2 linked regions of the Lepisosteus oculatus genome follow. The protein of the gene in region 2 purifies or fractionates together with the protein of the main gene of each other region. This does not show direct contact. Links are inferred from orthologs where the notes say so. Each region holds a gene or a part of one and is shown on either strand. Other genes may lie near its edges. The genes, in order: kctd10 and usp25.

Region 1 (9,916 bases), on a different chromosome or scaffold from region 2:
TAGCTAGGAGAGTGACATACCTAGCAAGCACAATGTGTGGCTTCCTTCAAGACAAACACAAATATCCCCACACTGCTCTTCACGGCTCAGGAACAGGATAAACTTTCGGAGGAGGTCATGGGTCTGGATCACAGTCATGCACTGCAAGGATACCAGCAAATCATTTTCACAACAACACTTTTTGGGTTTTACTTAGCCAAACCCATTTGAAGACTGGTGCCAGTCATTGTTTAACTGCTGACTGCCTTTATACCTATTCTAGTCCATCAAAGATCACAATCCAACACAATTCTCTAGGTTACTTTAATCCTAAATCAAGATCTGTAAAGAAAAATTTACATTCATGTACTTAAGATGTTGATGACCTGAAGGACTAGAGTTGGGAACCCAATCCCAAAAAATAAAACAAATACTTGAGTGTTTACCTCCGGGGTTAGACTGTTAAGGTGAAAGATGATAGCTGGTACAGACATGATGTGAATCAGGAAAGACCTCAAGAGGTTATCAGAGAAATGTGCAGCAACAACAGGCCTGCAAACAAAAGGAGAAACACATTACAGATGACGTGTCAAAAGCAACCACATCAGCACACATCCTTTAATGACAATAATGAATAAAAGTATAAAATTCAAATGACAACTGACACAAATACCTTAATGCCAGTGTAAATACGGCTGTTAGGGATCCTTTAGAAAGAGAGGGTCTGGCCCTTGCTAATCCGTTTGTTAATAAAATCTAGAAGAAATATGAAAAGAAACAAGATTGTCAGTCTACATTACAATTACACTATATCCGGTTTTATTTTTCATATTTGAATGCATTACATTTAAGAACTTTAAGCTACCTGCAAGACAGTATAAAAGCCCTTCTGATTGAGATGCCCCATGATGTTCTCACAAATACGGTTTAGAGCAGGCCGAAGAGCTTCCCCTGCAAGAAGAGGTACATCACTTAAAGCCAGGGACAGTGTGTGTTACCCTCTTATGCATGCATTAAAAAGATAATCTGACAAAACTATGAACGGGAAAGTTCTAGCAAACTTTAAAATATCAGAAATACACAGAGAATATGTCTGAGAGAAAACGTCTGCAAACCGATCTGCTGACACAAGAAGTCTACAACATCTTTATAGGACAAAAATCCTACAGTTACAGGACTGTAAATGTAGGATTTTATTCTGAAAACAACTGCAGACATTACGGGAAACATCCCAGATCCTGAAATGCCCAACACTCACCCTTCCCTCTCACATTCTTCCAGTTGGATGTGTCTGTGAAAGTCACTAGCATAGTGAGGTACAGAGTCACCATTTTGTTGTCTTGAAGGATATCAGGCTGAAAGAAAGATCAAACAAATCAACCAAATACCCTCATAAAATGCTAACCAACACCTTTTTGTTTTACCAAACCACGGACGGTGTAGGCTAATTCACTTCTTCCATGTCAAGCAAATAGCACAGTATAAGTATTTACAAATGTTTTCAAAGAATGTTAGTGAATTTGTTATGATTCACATGTCTAAGACAAGTTTCAAACGTGAATATGACAACACCAAATTGGATATTTCTCACCAGTGCTAGTTATTTTGTTGATGCTATAATTAAATTTCTCAAATGTTTGTAATCTTATGCAAAAAAAAATAGTTCTGACAGCAGAAGGGATTATGATTTACAGGATTTTAATTGAGGAAAACCTACTGACCTTTAGCTTCTTCAGGAACTCACAGGACACCCACAGGATATCTTTTATCTGCTTGATCCATTGGATGGTGAGGTCTTTTGAAAGAGCTAAGGACACATACCAAACCTATGGACATACAGAACACTGAATTTAAAATGTCAACATCAGTCAGGAACATGAAATAATCCAGAATAAGAGATCTGGAATACAGAATGTGTACATTAAAAACAGAGAATGTTTAAAAATGAAATTAACATTGCAAAATGTGTTTTTTTAGTTGAGTAAAAAGAAAAAAAAAACAGGTCCAGGGAAACTATTATCAGGAAAAATTAGAAATGTTTACCTTGGGTTCGTTTTCAACTTCCATACTCCCAAGTATACAGCGACACAATTTCTCAAATCTCTAGATAAAAATAAAACGAAGCCAAACAATCAAAACATGATGACTTATAGGACAAACATTTCAACTGACTGCAAAACACTGTGAATACATACCACATTTCCACCACTTCATACAATCCAGACGTTAAATGAAACATTAAACACAAGGAAAACTGACATCATGAGACTACACAAAAATCCCAAATCCTCACACACCGTTAAAAAACGACAATAACCTGACAAATTCACTACTAGATTCTCTGCGTTTCTCCGCAAGATGAGAAAAACAAAGTCTAAAAGAGATAACACTCACCACTTTGTCTTCTTTTAAGTTGAATATAAATAATAACTTTCTTGCAATTTTAAAAATGGAAAGTGCATTTCTTTTCCAAGATCCAGTATCACAGGCTTCGAAGAATTCATCTACTTCTTTCCTAGGGAATCAAGAGAGTGAGCAACAGTCTGGTTACCGTACAGCTCATACTGCACATGCTGATATTTTGGGGGGCAGTTAAGTCATTTAAGAAGCAGGGTGATGTACACTTGCTGCAGTGTTCTGACGGACATGACAAGGGGACCCCAGTCTAGCAGTGCCCAACACAGAGAAAGCTTGCTGGACTGACCGTATCTGCTTCTGCAGTTTGCAGCGGCAGAGGAACCTCCTGACAAGGGCCTGGATTTGCGTGGCCGCCTTCTCCCGCTCCTTCTGGCCCTTCCTCTCCTCACGGGCCTGCCGGGCTTTGTCCAGGAACTGGGACTTGGACGACTGAACTGTGCCAAACATCTTTCACCCCTGGGGAAAGACGGGAAAACGGCACTGACAGACTCACAGCAGGTACAACAAATACCTGCCCATTTCATTTCGGCCCTTTCCTTTTTTTATGAATTATTCTTAATGAAGGAAAAAAAAAACTGCATTGACGATAACATCATGTTTCTGAAAAGCAAACTGTTCTTAAGAGTCATTTCATCTTTTTGACAGCAATTACACTGTCTATGCTGATGCAGTACAAACCTCTGTTGTGGTTTACTACTTTCTCAAGACAGCAAAGTGTACTTAGTTTAAGGACTCGGGACACCATTGTACTGACTTGCAGTCAGGCACAAATAACACGAATCCTTCTGGAAACTGCAGTAGAACCCAAATAAGTCCAGCAAAAGCTGATCAGGGTGTTGTCTCAGCAGGTCACTCTGAATAAACCATCTTGACAGAGGAGGCTGACACACAGCAATGCACGAGCTAGCAGGGATGCTGAACCACCAATCACTTATGTGGAAGTAAAAAGTGGAATCGTTCAGCACACCGCCCAGTTTTAGTAGTGAGAGGAGTTGTGTTATCACAAAAGTGCTAACTTAAGTAGACTGAAATTAGGCTAAGGGCACTGACTTGCAAAAAGAGTTGTGTAACTTTACTAATATTCCTTCTATCTCTACAACATCCCCGAAAAAGACTAGAATAAACTGCAAGCCATCATACAGAAAAATATCATTGTTGCTTATACGAATCATGACGCGTTTTACATGGAACATTTATCAAACATTAACAAGACTGTTTTAAAGCCATCACATAGTTAATGGCGTGTAGTACTGCTAAAATACGTAGACAGCAAGCAGAAAGCCACTTTCACATCCATACACTGCAAGGAAACATTTCAATAGGAAGGGCACTGACCTAAGGCGTTTGCTCGTCACAGGAGATTCCCAGTTCATTACAGACACAACAGCATGTGCTAAATTTTCCCTCCAAGGCCCAAAATAGCAAGAGTCCTTCCGGAAACTGCAGTAGAACCCAAATTAGCCCAGCAAAAGCTGATCAGGGTGTCATCTCTGGAAGGTAAAAATAAGTATATACTTTCAATTCCTTTGCGATTCAGCACCACACAAAATACAACATCGCACCTCAGGGTGCGTATAATGTCTTCGGTCGTGTTCCTTCCGAAATAATTATTACTCGCATTTTGAACCCACACAAGTTCAAAAACCTTTTAGCCCTTGGTCCTGACAGCGGGTTGCCTGAACTGTCAAAATGCTGATAAAACCCGTGTATTTACACTTCTAAGAAAATAATACACTACTACTGTGTAACATGAATTCAAAGTTGCCAAGTAACAGCAACTAGAACTGAACCGATGTACCAACATAGAAAACCCGTCCGTTGCCTTTTTCCTGTGCAATATATTTTATATATTGATATAATAAAGCTTAATGGTGTCTACAATCGTACCTATTACTAAATGTTCAATTAATGTTGTTTTCAGACATACTATGTCGCAATTCTTCGCTCTACAAACAACGACAATCATAAACGTGCATTAGTTAGACGATGCGTGAACGCACTCAATCAACAAAATATCAAATGCCATAACCCCTTCAGCTGGGGTAAAAAGATGTAAACAATAAAAACAAAACCCATACACTGAAAGCAGCCATTAATCCTTTCGGTGTTACCACAAAAAACTTCCGGAGGCACAACAACGCTGTTTAATACATCACAAAACATTAAAGATAAAGATCAGAAAATGCAGAGGATCTAAAATCAGTATAATTACAGTCACAAATTTCACGCTATACTGATTTTTTTTGCATTACTCCTTTTAAAATAACGAATTTTCATGCAGCAATGGAACTATTTTTGCATGTGTGGGATTTCTTTCACGGTTACTCCCTCTGCGGGGCGGAGGTGATTTTTAAGCACTCTCTGAGGGGCAAAACAAGCAGCGAAATTATGGACGTTGATATCTAAACTTTTTTTTAACATCTTAACCATGATTCCATATAGCATCCAATCAATATAGGCAAAGGCTTCCACGATGTAAATATTCAGTTGAATTAAAATAATGATTGTGTTTTCGACTTTTAAGTTTCGCAAACGATTGCTGTTTCAGTGCTGGCAGCGAGATCTGGGGTTGGAAAAAAAGTTAAATGTATTGCTTTGGTTAATTACACAGTATTGTCGCAACGTTAAAAAAATCCTTAATGGGATGTATCATAATGTGCAATTACCTTACCGTATACCATATTCTGTTTTTTGTGTGTGCAGATAACACCTTCATTAGAATCAATATAACGGTGTTGTCATAGAGTGCCCAAATAAAAGCGTTAAAACAAATGTGTACAAATGCTTTAAACTCGCCTTAACTTAATACCAACAGTGAACATGAAGCTATATAGCTAAGAATTCTGTTCAGTGCACATAGAAGAGATTCGTCTCAAATGTGTTTTAGATTACCGTGGAAGGACCTGTTCGCTTTTATGTTTTAATTGGTGGATACTGTGACTTGAAAACGAGGTGCTCTTTGGGAGGCGTTTTAAAAACATACGTCCAAGAAAAATGTAAACAAGAAATATTTTGCTCCTTGTACAGTCGGTGTACTAACCACAGCTTAGTGACTGTTTCCTGCCTGAAGCTATCAGATTAATGTAATGATAGGGCAATATGCACAGAGCGAGATGAGTCTATTGTATACGCACTGTTGATTGGTTGGGACTATTGTTTGTTTTTGACGGGTATTTAACGTTGCTTGTTATTTGTTTTACTTACTTTTGTACGGTGATGCCAAAGACAACTTTCTACCCTTTTGAAAGGATAATAAAGTTACGTGTATACTGTACATTATGAATAGAACTCGCCCCTTAGGACGCCCTGACAATCCTCCGATAATTGCATGGTTACGTCATTCCCCCTCCCACGGAGCGTGGAGCCAAACGGAAATACCTCACAGAACCCCCGCCTGTGGGCCGGAAGTGGGTGATTCCTTCTCGTCTGATTTGGGAGTGTTTCTGGGTTCTATGGTAAGAAACAAAGAAGTTTTAACTTCGAAACTATAAATAATCTTGTAGTTTCTCGTGTTGTTTATTAAGCTGCCATTGTGTTTGTAAAGAGCAAAACGCGGAGTTAGCTAAGAAACGTTTTTTTCGCAACGTATTTTTGTTTTTTTTCAAGTAGCGATGAGAAAGGGGATATTTAAACTTCGTAGTTTTTCCGTTCATCACCATTTCATCTCTGTGACAAAGACATCAGGGACTATACGGGAATTATTTATACAGGGTTCTTTAGGATCTGCCTTAAACGTGTTTGTTACTTGAAAATGCATCACCTCTCTTAAGATTGCTCCCAACAGACTTTGGGAGACCTTAAGGAAATGAATTTAGAAAAAGCCACAGTCACAAAAACGCAGTTGAATTAACAAAATCCAGAATGACGAGAACAATGAAGAAACGGCGGAAAGAACCATTCCGTGGTTTAAACGTGGTTTCGATTATAGCGGAATGGTCCGATTTATATAGTTAATTATCTGGCGCTGATTGATACGGGGCTGGGCTATTACTCCCCCTCCCTAACCCACCCCTGTAACATTTAATGAACGTTGGGTGTTTGTTTTTTTAATCCTTAATCCTAAAATATAGTCTTTTGCATGTGGATGGTTGATTTTTATATGCATAGAAAACGTTGAACTCCCGGCTACTGTTCCAGCCTGGAAATCGATCAAATCGTGAATCCACTCGCCAGCTGCGTACTCCAATCCCAGGCTTTCATGGGGGAGGAGGTTGTGTGATTAGTGTAATTTGTAACGTGCAGTTTGCGCCGAGTACGCAAGCTTGTTGGCAGGTACACCTGTAGAAAGGCGTTAAGGCTGCCTCTCCGTGATAACCTGCCTGCGTCACTTCCTGTCCTCAGTACCGTGCCGGTGTTCTCTTCTTGTGCGTCTGCGTGTAGGAAGAGATGTCGGGTGACAGCGTGGTGAGCTCGGCAGTGCCGGCGGCTACAACTAGGACCACGTCCTTCAAGGGCTCCAGCCCCAGCTCCAAGTACGTGAAGCTGAACGTGGGAGGGGCGCTGTACTACACCACCATGCAGACCCTGACCAAGCAGGACACCATGCTGAAGGCCATGTTCAGCGGCAGGATGGAGGTGCTGACGGACAGCGAGGGTACGCAGTCGGCTCCGGCTTGGCATCCCTGCGGGTCTCACTCGCGCCAGCAGGAACACACCGCTGGCACCCGAGCTTGAAGTTGCAATCAGCACACAAGAACACTCAGAGCCTGTACCGCTCAAAACGCTTTGTTGCTAGAGGAATCTTTTTGAAGCTGTAGTGTAGCAGTGATCAGACTCGGTTCCTGGAGAGCCTTGTGTTTTTGTTCCAGCCCGACTTCTTGGTTTCACACTGGGTCTGGTTATTTAACTGCAGTTAAAGTGTAATGTGTTCTCTTAGCTCTGAGGTTAATGTCCCTTTAATTAATAATAATAAATAATAATTCCTTATGCTTATATAGTGCTTTTCTAGAGACTCCACTCAAAGTGCTTTACAGGTGATGGGGAATCACACTACCACCACCAGTGTGCAGCCCCACCTGGATGATGCCACAGCACCAAAGTACACTCTCCCCACACCAGCTCTCAGTAGGGAGGAGAGCAGAGTGATGAAGCCAGTTCAAAGATGGGGATTATTAGGAGGCCATGATTGATAAAGGCCAGGGGGAAATTTGGCCAGGACACTGGGGTAACATCCCTACTCTTTTTGAGAAACACCCTGGACCACAGAAAGTCAGGATCTCGGCTTTACGTCTCATCTGAAGGAGGGGTTATAAATACCCCTGTTTTTTTCATAATCCACCGTAAAAGCCGATAAATGACGTACTGTAGCTGAAGGTGGAAAAGGAATTTGGCCTTTTTAGTATACTCAAAAAAAACTGTGTGAGAGGAAAACTTTAAAAAAAATTAATTGTTAGAGAAATAAAATAAGTGTAATTGAGTGAAATGTAAGCAAAGCCTGCCTAGGATGCCAAGGATGCTAGGATGTGTTGTAACTCATGTATGTAGTCAGACGGGAGTTCATGTGAGTGTATGTCACTGCAAGGCTGCTATTAAATTGGATTTATTGAGTGGATAATTAAGGTTCAGAAAATTAACCGTTATCTGTAGTATTATATCTTGATTATAGATCTAAAAATACATTTACCAGGAGGCCCATATAGTGCATCTGGTTTTGTGCCTGCTTGGTTCCTCTGTGTCTCGACTGCCTCAGCCATCTGTCTCCTCCCACAGGCTGGATCTTGATCGACCGCTGTGGCAAGCACTTCGGGACGATTCTGAACTACCTGCGGGACGGAGCCGTGCCCCTGCCCGAGAGCCGCAGGGAGACGGAGGAGCTGCTGGCTGAAGCCAAGTACTACCTGGTGCAGGGGCTGGCCGATGAGTGCCAGGCCGCTCTCCAGGTGCAAATCCTACCGCCCGCACGTCTGATGCAAAGGGCACTACCGCCCAGCATGTCCACGTCACACCTTTCACGTTGATCTGTGCAAAGTCTGACCCTCGGCGTTGGTTTTTAATCGACACAAATGCCTTTCTGTTTGTCTTTTAAGAACAAAGACACGTATGAACCATTTTGCAAGGTACCGCTCGTAACCTCGTCTAAGGAGGAACAGAGACTCATCGCCACCTCTGACAAGGTAAGGATCACATTAAAACCCAGGGTACTGTTGGACTGATCATCAGAAAAGTTATACTGTGATGAAGCAGTTTCTGGTTTGATAACTCTGCGTCCATCTCTTGTAGTATTATATCTTAGTCTAGTGACCATTAGACAGTTTTAACTCATTCAAAATGCTGCTGATAGAATTTTAACAATGACCAAGAAAACTGAGCATATTACTCCAATTCTAAGATCCTTACACTGGCTTCCAGTTAGTTATAGAATTAATTTCAATGTATTGCTTCTTGTGTATAAATCACTCAATGGTTAGGCTCAAAATATATTTCCAATATGTTTGACCTGGTAGGTCTCTTAAGATCTTTCTGCAATTTTCCTCACGAGATCAGTAAAGTATCTATCTGTCTTTAGGGACTGGTCAGCAAGTGGTGCCTAGAGTTGAAACTGAACGTGGTGAAATGGCACAGCTCCCGAAGGATCTTAGATGTGCCCCAACCTTAGACATTTTTAAATCGAAGTTAAAAATGGTTTTATTATCCTCTGCTTTTGCTTAGTTTTATTGTGGTTTTAATTATTTCTTTTATGATATTCTTTTAATTATTTTTTATTTTATTTCTGTTTTTTATGGTTTCTATGCGTGTAAAGCACTTGGAATTACCCGTGTGTACGAGAATGTGCTATAGAAATCAATTTGCCTTGCCTAGTGATGTGGTGTGTATTTGAGCATAAAAAAAACTGTTGTGAGAATACTAGAAGTCTTAATTCTTACCGTTGCTGTCTTTTGTATTCTCTTCCATCTGCAGCCTACTGTCAAGCTGTTATACAATAGAAGCAACAACAAATATTCTTATACCAGGTAAGAAAGCTGTCTTGGCTGGTGATGGTGGCGGCCGACTCCCCTGACTGGGCCCAGACGAGCGCCCCAGCCTGCCTCGCATCAGTGCCTTAAAACCTTCGCCGTCTGTCGCCTGCAGTAACTCCGACGACAACATGCTGAAGAACATCGAACTGTTCGACAAGCTGTCGCTGCGCTTCAACGGGAGGGTGCTGTTCATCAAGGACGTCATCGGGGACGAGATCTGCTGCTGGTCCTTCTACGGGCAGGGCCGCAAGATCGCGGAGGTGTGCTGCACCTCCATCGTCTACGCCACCGAGAAGAAGCAGACCAAGGTACGGCCGGGGGGCAGCTGTGGCGGACAGCGTGCAGCAGGGGAAGGAGATGTGGGATAGCAGGAGGCATCGTCACTTGATCTTCAGCCGACAGTGGACAGCCTATGAGAAAATGGTGGACACTGTGTGTCATGGAGACTAGACCTGAGAGATCAGAAGTCAATAATAATAATAATAATAATTCCTCACACTTATATAGTGCTTTTCTGGACACTGCACTCAGAGCGCTTTACAGGTAATGGGGATCCCCTCCAC
Region 2 (10,136 bases):
GTATTGCTCTCATGCACTATATAATGGCTAAAAAATAATTCCTTCTGTTGCAGGAAGGGGGCGAACTGTACTTCAGTGACATGTATGCTAGCAAGACTGTTCCTGAAAATGTAAAGCAAGATGAAGTTCTTTGGGGTAAACGTACCATTTGAATGATTACAAATCAGTCTATTTTAATTCACAGGTACTGAATAATTCATCTGTTCATATCTATTACTGGAAATCATTTAGTTATTAGTCATTTAAATTAATGACTAATAATTCAAAGATTGAATTTTTAAAAATGCACTTTCCCTCTATCAGCTGGTACATTTATTTCAATAACTATCACCCAGGTTTTTCTCAAGGAGACGACAATCTATAAACCCTTCAGACTCCTATTCCTTCGATCCTCTAAACACAACTTCTGATATATTTATATACAGTATGTATACATGTAAAGATGCATATCTGTAGCTTTCTGATGTTTTTTTTTTAACATCCAAATTAACACACAAGGGCTGGTGGGGAATTTTTTACATTAAGTTTGTAGGCTTCTTGTAGATGCCTGAAATTCATAGTACTTTCACTCCTGTATCTGACTTAGCAGTTTACTGAGGCTGTCCTTGAGAAGGTGCTCTGTAAAATAAAAATGTGAATGAAATTTTAAACACCTTATGGAGAATTGGAATTCTTGCTGCAGAAACATCTCCAGTCAATTTGTTTTGAATTTCCGATATGAGAAATGATCCATAAATGAAGCGGGATGAGGAGTTTCTCGGCTGTAGTTGCTGTCAGCATTTCTCAGTAAATCAGTGGTCGGGGGCGGATAATCACTGGTGTGTTTGATTTGTCGCAGGGGAAGGCCTGGGTGGCTCCCTGTACTGGATGGACCTGATATCACTGGTGAAGGATATAGGCTTCAGCAGACCCTACCTTGTTGCTGCCAGCCACATTGTCATACGTAACCGTGAACTCTTGGAAAAAACGGGTAAGTAGGAATTGGAACACGCGCAAGGCTGAAGGACCTGATCCCGACTTGGTCCCGACATCACCCTCTACAACTGGATTTGGGACTTTCTGGCAGGCAGACCTCAGGCTGTCAGGCTTGGAAACCACACCTCTGGCACACTACTCTGAACACTGGGATCCCCCAGGGTTGTGTGCTTAGTCCATTGCTCTACACCCACGACTGTAAGGCCAAACACAACACCAACTCCATCATCAAGTTTGCCGATGACACCACAGTTGGAGGTCTGATCACAGACAATGATGAGAGGGCCTTCCAGGAGGAGGTCCTTACAACATGGTGTGAAGACAACCTCACCCTCAACGTCGGCAAAACCAAGGAGCTGATCATTGATTTCAGAAACTGCAAAACGGACATGCCCCTATCCACATCAATGGGACTGAAGTGGAAAGTGTCAGTAACTTCAAATTCCTTGGCGTCCATATCACTGAGGACCTCACATGGTCTCTCAATGCCACCTGTCTGATCGAGAAAACGCAACAGCACCTGTACTTCCAAAGACAGTTGAAGAAGGTTAAGATATGTCCCCAGATCCTCACTAACTTTTACAGGTGCACTACAGAAAGCACACTGACAGGTTGTATCACAGTGTGGTACGGCAACTGCAGTATTGCTGACCGCAAAGCCTTACAGCTGGTGCCCAGTCCATCACTGGGGTTGCCCTCCCATTCATACAGGACATAAATGACAGACGGTGCTTGAGGAAAGCTCTAAGCATCATCAAAGACCCCATACGCCCCAGCTACAGACTGAGCCTCTACCATCTGGAAAACGGTACCAGAGCATTCAGGCCTGGACTACCAGACTCGGAGACCGTTTTTACCCCCGCACTATCAAACTATTAAACTCCCAGCCTCTCTCACCTACGATCTGGTAAGAGAGAAGGCACTGTAGGTTCAAACACCTTGAAATCTACCCCTACCTCACTTCAAGTAGCTCACTCCCCATAATTTTCTATCCTTTATTTCATTATGTTGATATTATAATATCTCATTATGATTTTGCACACTGCCTGTTGTCTCGGTCTTTCTTTTCTTATACAATTGTATTGTTGTTTTTTGTATTACTTATTGTCTGAGAGCTAGCTAAATAGCATTTAATTAAACCATATACCTGTATATGAGTATAATGACAATGAACTTGAACAGGCTCATTGCACGACATTGGTGTTATGAAATTAGTCTTCCTCAAAAGGTGCTGTTATGTAACCAGTGGGGCATTTAAAAGACCCAGTTTTGAATATTCTACAGTGTGTTTGTTAGTGGTTTTCCTGGAGCTTTCCTTCATGGGCTGTGCCACACTCAGCCACTAGAAACTATGAGCTGGAAAAGGCAAAGAAAAAGCAACAGGCAGAGGTTTGGTCCATATGTTCCTGTTTAACCATCCAGATGGGGGGTTCTGTTTTTCCATTTTTAAATAGAACAAATTATTTCTGCTGAAAATTTACACTTTATTCCATGGAAGTGACAAATTTTGGCTCTCTGTTACACTAATGCCAGAAATTACATAATTGATTTGAGTGCTAATTTACTTACTTTTACAGTATTAAATGTTTTTTTTATTGCTTAGGTGATATTACATATGCATCTGGGACATACCGTGTCTTTAAATTGCCAAAAAACAGAACTAATGGAAATGCCATCATGACATACCAAGGGACCGTGTCTGACCATCCTGACCAGCTGGTGTTTGATGCTTCTCACACCTTTAAGGTATGCATGTTCTCCAGAAATTCTGCCTTGAGTGCAGACACGTTTCTGAGTTAAACATCTGATCAGATTAGAATGGGAAACAATGTGTATCCCTCCATTAAGATTGTAATGAAAAGAAAACAATAAGCAGTGTCCACTCCTCTTTGACATTGTTGGGTTGTGCAACTATGGAACAAGCTACCCAGCCTTGTTGTTAAAACTGATAACCCTGGCTTCTTTCAAGAAACAATTGGATAAGATCCTGGGATCAAGTAACTACTAACTTCAAAATGGATTAGATGGGCCTCCTCTTGTTTTAACCAATTTGCCATGATTTACTGTTCCAGTAAACTGGTAAATAATCCATTAAGGCAAGTGTAAAGCATGGTGCAGCATGTTTCACTGATTTGGTGATGCACAGTGATAACCTAGAATAAAATTTTCTGTGGTATTTGGAAATTATTTTTTCATTCTTAAAATCTGTTCAGTGAGATTTGAGGTAGCGAGTTTTAGTGCAGAGTTCCTTGTCAGTAACTACTGAAAGAAGTGAGCTGTCCTGCCTATAGCTGTGACTGGTCTGACTGCCTTGTTGCTGATATGATACCACTGAAACTGGATAGCTGATCTTATGAAATTAACATTTGCTCGTATTTGTTTCCATGCAGGGTTAGTTCAGCTCTATAGCAGAGCTATGTTCTGTTTGATACCGTAGTGAGAGCATTTTGTCTCCAGAAAGGTGTAGCTGTTGAGGTGGATGCCGAGACGGCTTCTGTTCTCCAGTACTCCCGCTTTTCATCTGACTTTTCCATTCTGAACGCTGATGCTCCTCTGACCGTCCAGGAGATTTCACCTCCGGTGAGGACATTTCCTTGCAGAGCCTGGGGAAATGCAGCCTAATGCCAGTGTTTCATGTGAAACATTGGCTCATTGTGATAGGTGCATTTTATGTCATTAGAGATTCTTCTGTTTGAATTTAGTAGTCTCTGTCAAATCCCCCTGTGTTACACAAACATAGTATGCATGTCTGAAATCCTGAAAAGTCTCTTGACCATTGTGCCTACAGTATATTCATATTTTATTATTTTTTAATTCTTCAGCCAAATCTCCTGGTAATTGCTGTGCTACAGCTTGTAGCCTAATTTCCACCTCACAGAAACTACTGTTCAGGCTCAAGCCTACACAAGCACCTTCAATCAGAAGGTCACACCACACTTTTTAGCAACCGATTCGGCACATCTTGCAGCCCACTGCCACTGTGCTACATGAGGCAACCCACACAACTTGCATATCCCCTGCTGAACACTCATGTAATGTAGAAATCTTTTTAGTGTGTGGTTTGAGTGATATGAATGACCACCTACTATTTGTTTTTCACAGTTGGAATGTAAAAGGCAGTCAAACCACATCCAAAATTCAACTGTAAACCAGTTTTGAACTGCTCTCATCTAAATGAGAAATGAATGTGGGTCTGTCTCCAGGACTCTGAAGTATGACAGGTGGCCCAGTATTTTTAAGATAATTTATACTAAACCTGTAATACATTTGTGTGCTTTTATGTTCCACTTTTATACTTAAACTACATTTGATGTTGATTCTTTAATACAGAATTAGATGAGGCTCCTAGTTTACTGGGAAATTAAGATGTACTGTGTTTTTTAAATGTTTTGTTCACAATATTAGTTGTTTCTGGAACCCATGATCCCAGATAAGAATTATTTTAATAATCTATTGCTTAAGTGAATCATTGAAATCTTTGAGGTCCCCTGTTTTTATTTTCTTAAAGCCACCATGCCTCCACTCTTAAAGTCTTAAAGACTTTTAAAGTCTCTTCTTTTTTTTTCAGTATTCCCACCTCAACCCTTTCCTGCTTGCTGACCGGCTGGGCGCGTCCATGCTGCAGTGTTCCAAATCCAGGGCCAGAGTGGCCTGTGAAGCAGCAGTGAACTAGCAGGAGGTCTGCAGAAAGCCCTGGGAGGCAGGAGGGGCAGTGCTCTGTCCAGTTACCCTAGTCACAGCTCCCATACTTATCTCTTTGACAATTTCAGCTTTGGTACTCTTTCTGAAGATTTCTGAGGCGTGTTTTTTCCTTGATATAGTGCCTTTTCCTTCCCGACAGTGATCTTTACACCAAAGTATTAACAGAACTGTTTGCTTTAGACTGAAGAGGCAAAACTGGAGCCTAATACAACCTGCTCACGGGCTGCACTGTCCAGCTGCAGTTTTAATAAAATCCATGATAGCAACTCAGCCTTTCTTTTCTGTTTGGAAGGAGTGGAAGGGAAATGTGGCTGAATGTTGTTACGAAGAAAAACCGAACTCTGAGAAACAACCTACATTAAACAGGTTCAAAAAGTGTTCTGTTTCTTTCTTCGTGGTGAGGAATCTGAGAAGGTATTCAACTTCACAAGAGTATATTTTATTTGGCATAGCAGTTTGGTAATCATTAAAAAAAAACATTCATTTTCTACTCGTCCATAAAACTGAAGATTGCTTCGTCTGCTGTAGAGGTGTTTTTGTCTTTTTTACTCTTACAATGTTTGCCCCACTGTTAACCACACAAACTCTTGGCTAAGGCATTATTTTTACAGACCCCAACATATGTTTAGATATTAAATGAATCCTAATTGCACGGATCATGCAATCACTTAAATAGAGGTTACTCCATTCATCACGCTTCCCGGGTACGGAGGTTTAGCTAAATTCTCACTTCTGTACATTACATTTCAAAAACTGACACACGCACCACGGGGTCGCTGACGCCATGTTTGTGGGCCTGTCTGATTATACGTCATTGCAGCCAGTCAAGGCCAAACTAGCTGATCTCAGAGAGCCTGGGTGTCGATGGGCTTGTGTTGACTTTTCTCCTACCTTGCCAATGGCTCCCGCTAGTGCGCTGATAAACAGGGGGACATCTTAGTTATATGTTTTTTTTTTCAATTTCTTGCCATTTTCCTGTTAAGTTTGGTTTGGTTGTGTGTGCCGGCCATGACCGTGGAGCAGAATGTCCTGCAGCAGCACTCTCAGAAGGTAGGGTGGGTGTTGGGGAGCTGCTGCCGAGAAGCGCCGCGGCTGTGGCTCAGTGCCCGGCAGGGTGGACGGTCTCCGGCGCCGCTGCCAGTCGAGTCTCCGGCTTCTCCAGGACAGCGCTTCCACGCTGCCTGAGCGAGCTGTAACACTGGAGAAAATATTACTTTGGCGCTAGGCGGGGTTATTCGACGTCGAGGATTCATTAGCTTTGCCTTCATCGTTTTTAAAGCCGTGCAATTTGCTGCATTCCTAAAGCAAATAACCCAGTTACCCTAAAATATACCTAGGAAGTGAGCATAGTCGTAATCGCTACACTTTATCTTAAAATGCTCGGATGGATCTTGCGTTTCATCGATAATTTGACGAATAACTAACACGAGCCAGAGCCAGGGCCAGATGGCTTGTTTTCGGTTTTTTTTTTTAGTTACTATCGTTTAAGTATCGTTTTCTTATCTCCTCCTATAATTCTATTTAACAACCCGGATCTGAAGAGAGGTGTTGAAAAGTGACTGTTGTTGTTTGTGTAGTCGGGATATAAATGTGATGTATTGATCACAAACGTGCAGAAAACCGTCTTTTTAGTTGTGTGTAGCAATCGTAATGGAGATCTCCTGTAGTTTGTGCGTGTCCTCAGTACTGTATAGTTACTGATGGTAATAGTAGCATGCCTGGCGTTTGATTATTAAATAGTGATGTTTCATTGTAACTCCTCGGCATTCGAAACAGATTTTACAATAAAGCCCGGTAGAGATCAAGAAGTTAAGCTTGTAAACGCAACTGTCTGGGATTGAGCCCGCAATTAGTTACATAACTCTTCCAGCCTTCACTGCCCTGCTGTGATTTCTGAACTGTAGTACCCGAGCAAGCGTGTGCAGATTCCTTTACTCCTGGTTTCCATTTCTATATAGTTAATGCACAGCGTTTGGTGCATTTGTTAGATTTATTACTAATATCTGTCTATGTTAGCTTAATATATTCCTGAAGGGGATTGGTGTTGTGTTAAATGTATAGTATTAAAGTGAAAATATTATTGTATTTGCTTCAGTAGAACAACAAGCAAGGGGCAAAGCAAAATAGCCAAATGGGCTCCCAGAATTGATAATTATGTTCTGGAGCAAGAGGCACTGTGGGCTAAGTACTGTTTAATGTTTCCTACGTATTACAGACACAAGCCACAGGGACAAGACGAGAGGGAGTGGTATAGGATTTCTGTGTTCATTGGAAACCTAGAATCTTGTGGTTTTCTATTCTAGCTGGATTCTTGATTTGGGTCAGTTGCTTAAGCCCTTTATTAATAAAATCACGGTTTAATTAAGCCTTTTTTTAAAGGTTTTTAAATTTAAATCTATACAGTGGGCTATTTAACTACAGAAGTGGAAAGAAAACATAAAAGAAAGCTATAACCATGTACAGGGATTATTCTTTAACCAGCAGCCTCCTGCGAGAAGATCCATATATATTGTGTGTCTGAGAAGTCTTTTTGGCTACACTTTAACATAAATCTCAGAAAGTCTGTTCTGTAGTTCATTTAACTTTTGTGAGTATGCAAATTGATATAGGATACTTTTTTCGCATGCAGGTGGTAGTGCACAGAACCAAGACACTGCAGAATCAGAAACCAAAAGTATTACCACAAGCAGAAACAACTGAATTTCAGTCCTTAGTTGATTCAAATCAAGCGTAGCTCACTTTAAAGTATGTGGTATGGTAGAAGACATCTTGCTTTAAGTTGAATGAATAGTTGTATATACAGACTATGGAGAAATGACACTGATATGGGTTTACATTTTCTGCTGCATGGATAATTGTTCTTCACCTTCTTCACCTTGTAAAAAATAAAAAGGTAAGCTAAACAAAAATGAGCTCCTCTGACATGGTCAAGCCAAGTTCACTTTAAGACTGTGATGTGTACAGAGTTGGCTCCACTGGTACTATATCTAGGTCGAATGTGGAAATAACATTGACTCATTGACTTTACGAATCATTAAAGTCATTAACTATTTAGAGAGGTTACAAACAATGGCCCATCTAGCCTCTTTGGTGGTTTGGAACTAATTGATCCAAGCTGATCCAGATGTTTTTTAAAGAAGCCAGGGTATCTGCTTCAACAGCATGGCTGGGGAGGCTGTCCCATGGTCTCAGAAAATTGCCTGCTTTTCCTGGGTTCAGATGCACCTTCATGTAGCTTCCACATGTGTCCTCTGGTTTGTGTTTCACTGTTGATTCAGTGTTAATATGCTGTCATTTTAACCTTATCAGAAGAATGCATATTCTTGGTAAGGATCATGTTAATTCAGTCTATACCCCAGAACTGTAGGGCGCAAGGTAGGACTATATCCTACGAGGCTGCAGTGCTGCTATGTTTCGTACTGAAGCAGATGAAGACCAAGAGTAATACGAACTGACCATTTCTGCACAATTTTTGACAACTGCCACTAAAGACCAAGACTTAACAATAGTAAAAGACTTTTAAAACAAATTTCAGTAGTTTATTCTGTTAATGTTGTATTTATTTTTCTCCAATACAATAGTTGTTGAGACTTCAACCATGCACAGTCGAAACAGTCTGAATGGAGGATGCTATAGTCGCTGCAATAGCTCATTAGTTTGGTCATTTTAGGCCATTACTCTGACCACATTGATTCAGTCAGTTTTTTTTGGCAGTTGTTGTAAGAAGTACTCATTAATGCTTTTAACAGGTTTTGTGTTTTCCTGAATATCTTCACATATACTATGCACAGTACATCTCGGTGACATGCATTTATTTTTAAGGTGTTCAAAGTTTTCTAGTTATGCAGCAAAGAATGACCACTGAGCTGTTTTAACAGTAACATTCCCGTAACATTGTTTTTCTGTGACATTAGCCACTGTTTTGGTTGCTTAATATACCGTGGAGCACATTACGTTTCCATAATTTTTGTTTCCAATTCAGAAGTATTGATATGAGAATTTAGTGCTCTTAAACCAGCATAGCTCACTAGATTTATAGAATGAGATGCAGCTCCTTACATGTTCTGCTTTTGCTGAGGCTTCTCTGAGCAGCAGAAGTTTAGTTCTGGTGTCCGCTGGCACTCTTGTCTAGAAATGCTATTTTGGATGGGCAGTTGTAAGAGCAGTGTTACATGTTGAGTGTTGGTTACAGTCTTGTGAGTCAGCACCACAGCATCCCTCAAATCATGTGACTAGTAAGAGGGCTTATTCTCAGCTTGTGCTTGGCTGGTACAGTCTTTACGTTGCACTAAAGATATTGTCCGGGGTGTGTCCTGCCTTGCATCCATGCTTGCTGGGATGGGCTCTGGATCCTCTCCGACCCTGTAGTAAACAAAGTGATTAGAAAATGGGTGGATGTAAAAGATATTTTTTATGTTCTATCTGTGCTCTATCTATTTGCCTGTCTTGCACACTCTTTGCTTATTTTCAAATTAGCATATTATTATTGAGAGTTTCAGAGACCATAGGGAGGAAATCAGTGTCAAAGTATCTCAGTCCTACTTTAATTTATTTCCTTCATAAAAAAGCAATTAATTAGTAATCTAGACTTAATACAACACACTATTTAAGCTGAAAGTATTCTTGTGATAAATCTTGGCTTTCTAAGCAAATGGCTCTCAGAACATTAGGATTTATTGAGTTACTAGCATGTATAGCATGCTCTTTGTTTTTATTTGGCCCTTTTGTTAGTGCTAACCAAAACCGATCAGTAACTGGAATATGTGGAATATGGAATATGATTGAAGCATTTGTTTCAAGTTGTGACATTAATTTCTCTACGTGATATTGCAGTAGGTCTTCTGTCTGTGAATCAGGAAAAAAAATGGACTTAATCCTCTTTGTGGTCTGCAGCAGTTTGATGCTCCCAAGAGTGAGCTCTGATCTGCTGGAGTGCCCCATGAATCTGACTACCATTAGAAGCAGTGGCACGGACAGCACCAATGAGAATGTCAACCCTGTGTTGCCAGGTTGTGAAGTAAAAGTGAAAGGTTGGGCTTTGGCGTGTCATGCTTTCTCTTTGCTGTCCCCTCACAGCACCAGCAGACACTTCTGAACCAGCTCCGAGAGGTCACCGGAACCACAGATGTCCAGCTTTTACAGCAAGCTCTGCAGGTAGGGCTGGAGAGTTTGCATCCAGCGACCACAAACAATCATCTTTTCCAACACCGTTATTTCAGTGAGTCAACTTGCTAGCAAGTAAATATCAACTGTGCTGACACAGTTTAACTGCTTCTGCATCAGAGAGGATATTAATTTTCATAATGTTAATGTTTCTTTATTAGCCCTATACAATTTCTTGCATTAGGAATTCATCTTTTCGCATACCTCAGCTTTTCTCCATGGAGACACAGTCACACAGACAGGGAGAAGCTTGGGGTCAGAGCGCAGGGTCTGCCATTGTACGGTGCCCCTGGAGC

Evidence for each region.
Region 1: the proteins of usp25 (region 2) and kctd10 purify together in Homo sapiens (affinity purification with mass spectrometry; 4 studies listed by BioGRID and IntAct, counting the BioPlex papers as one, with this or other methods). This does not show direct contact. The link is inferred for Lepisosteus oculatus from reciprocal best matches to the Homo sapiens genes USP25 and KCTD10.

Annotation. Positions count from the first base shown.
Region 1 is NC_090717.1:5,984,136-5,994,051, forward strand, and holds the start of kctd10 (BTB/POZ domain-containing adapter for CUL3-mediated RhoA degradation protein 3), read left to right. Parts: upstream 1-5,749; 5' UTR 5,750-5,849; coding exon 5,850-5,852; intron 5,853-6,777; coding exon 6,778-6,991; intron 6,992-8,106; coding exon 8,107-8,276; intron 8,277-8,423; coding exon 8,424-8,510; intron 8,511-9,294; coding exon 9,295-9,347; intron 9,348-9,465; coding exon 9,466-9,661; intron 9,662-9,916. Other genes in the region: ube3b (ubiquitin-protein ligase E3B), read right to left, coding at 21-141, 426-531, 653-735, 845-930, 1,238-1,334, 1,701-1,805, 2,023-2,082, 2,374-2,494 and 1 more. UniProt on the Homo sapiens protein: Substrate-specific adapter of a BCR (BTB-CUL3-RBX1) E3 ubiquitin-protein ligase complex. The BCR(BACURD3) E3 ubiquitin ligase complex mediates the ubiquitination of target proteins, leading to their degradation by the proteasome.
Region 2 is NC_090700.1:251,380-261,515, reverse strand, and holds the start of usp25 (ubiquitin carboxyl-terminal hydrolase 25), read left to right. Parts: upstream 1-5,504; 5' UTR 5,505-5,685; coding exon 5,686-5,727; exon of another isoform or gene 5,728-5,875; intron 5,876-8,736; exon of another isoform or gene 8,737-8,878; intron 8,879-9,753; coding exon 9,754-9,831; intron 9,832-10,136. Other genes in the region: arsenite methyltransferase, read left to right, coding at 54-135, 839-970, 2,579-2,721, 3,433-3,555, 4,544-4,648. UniProt on the Homo sapiens protein: Deubiquitinating enzyme that hydrolyzes ubiquitin moieties conjugated to substrates and thus, functions in various biological processes including inflammation and immune response.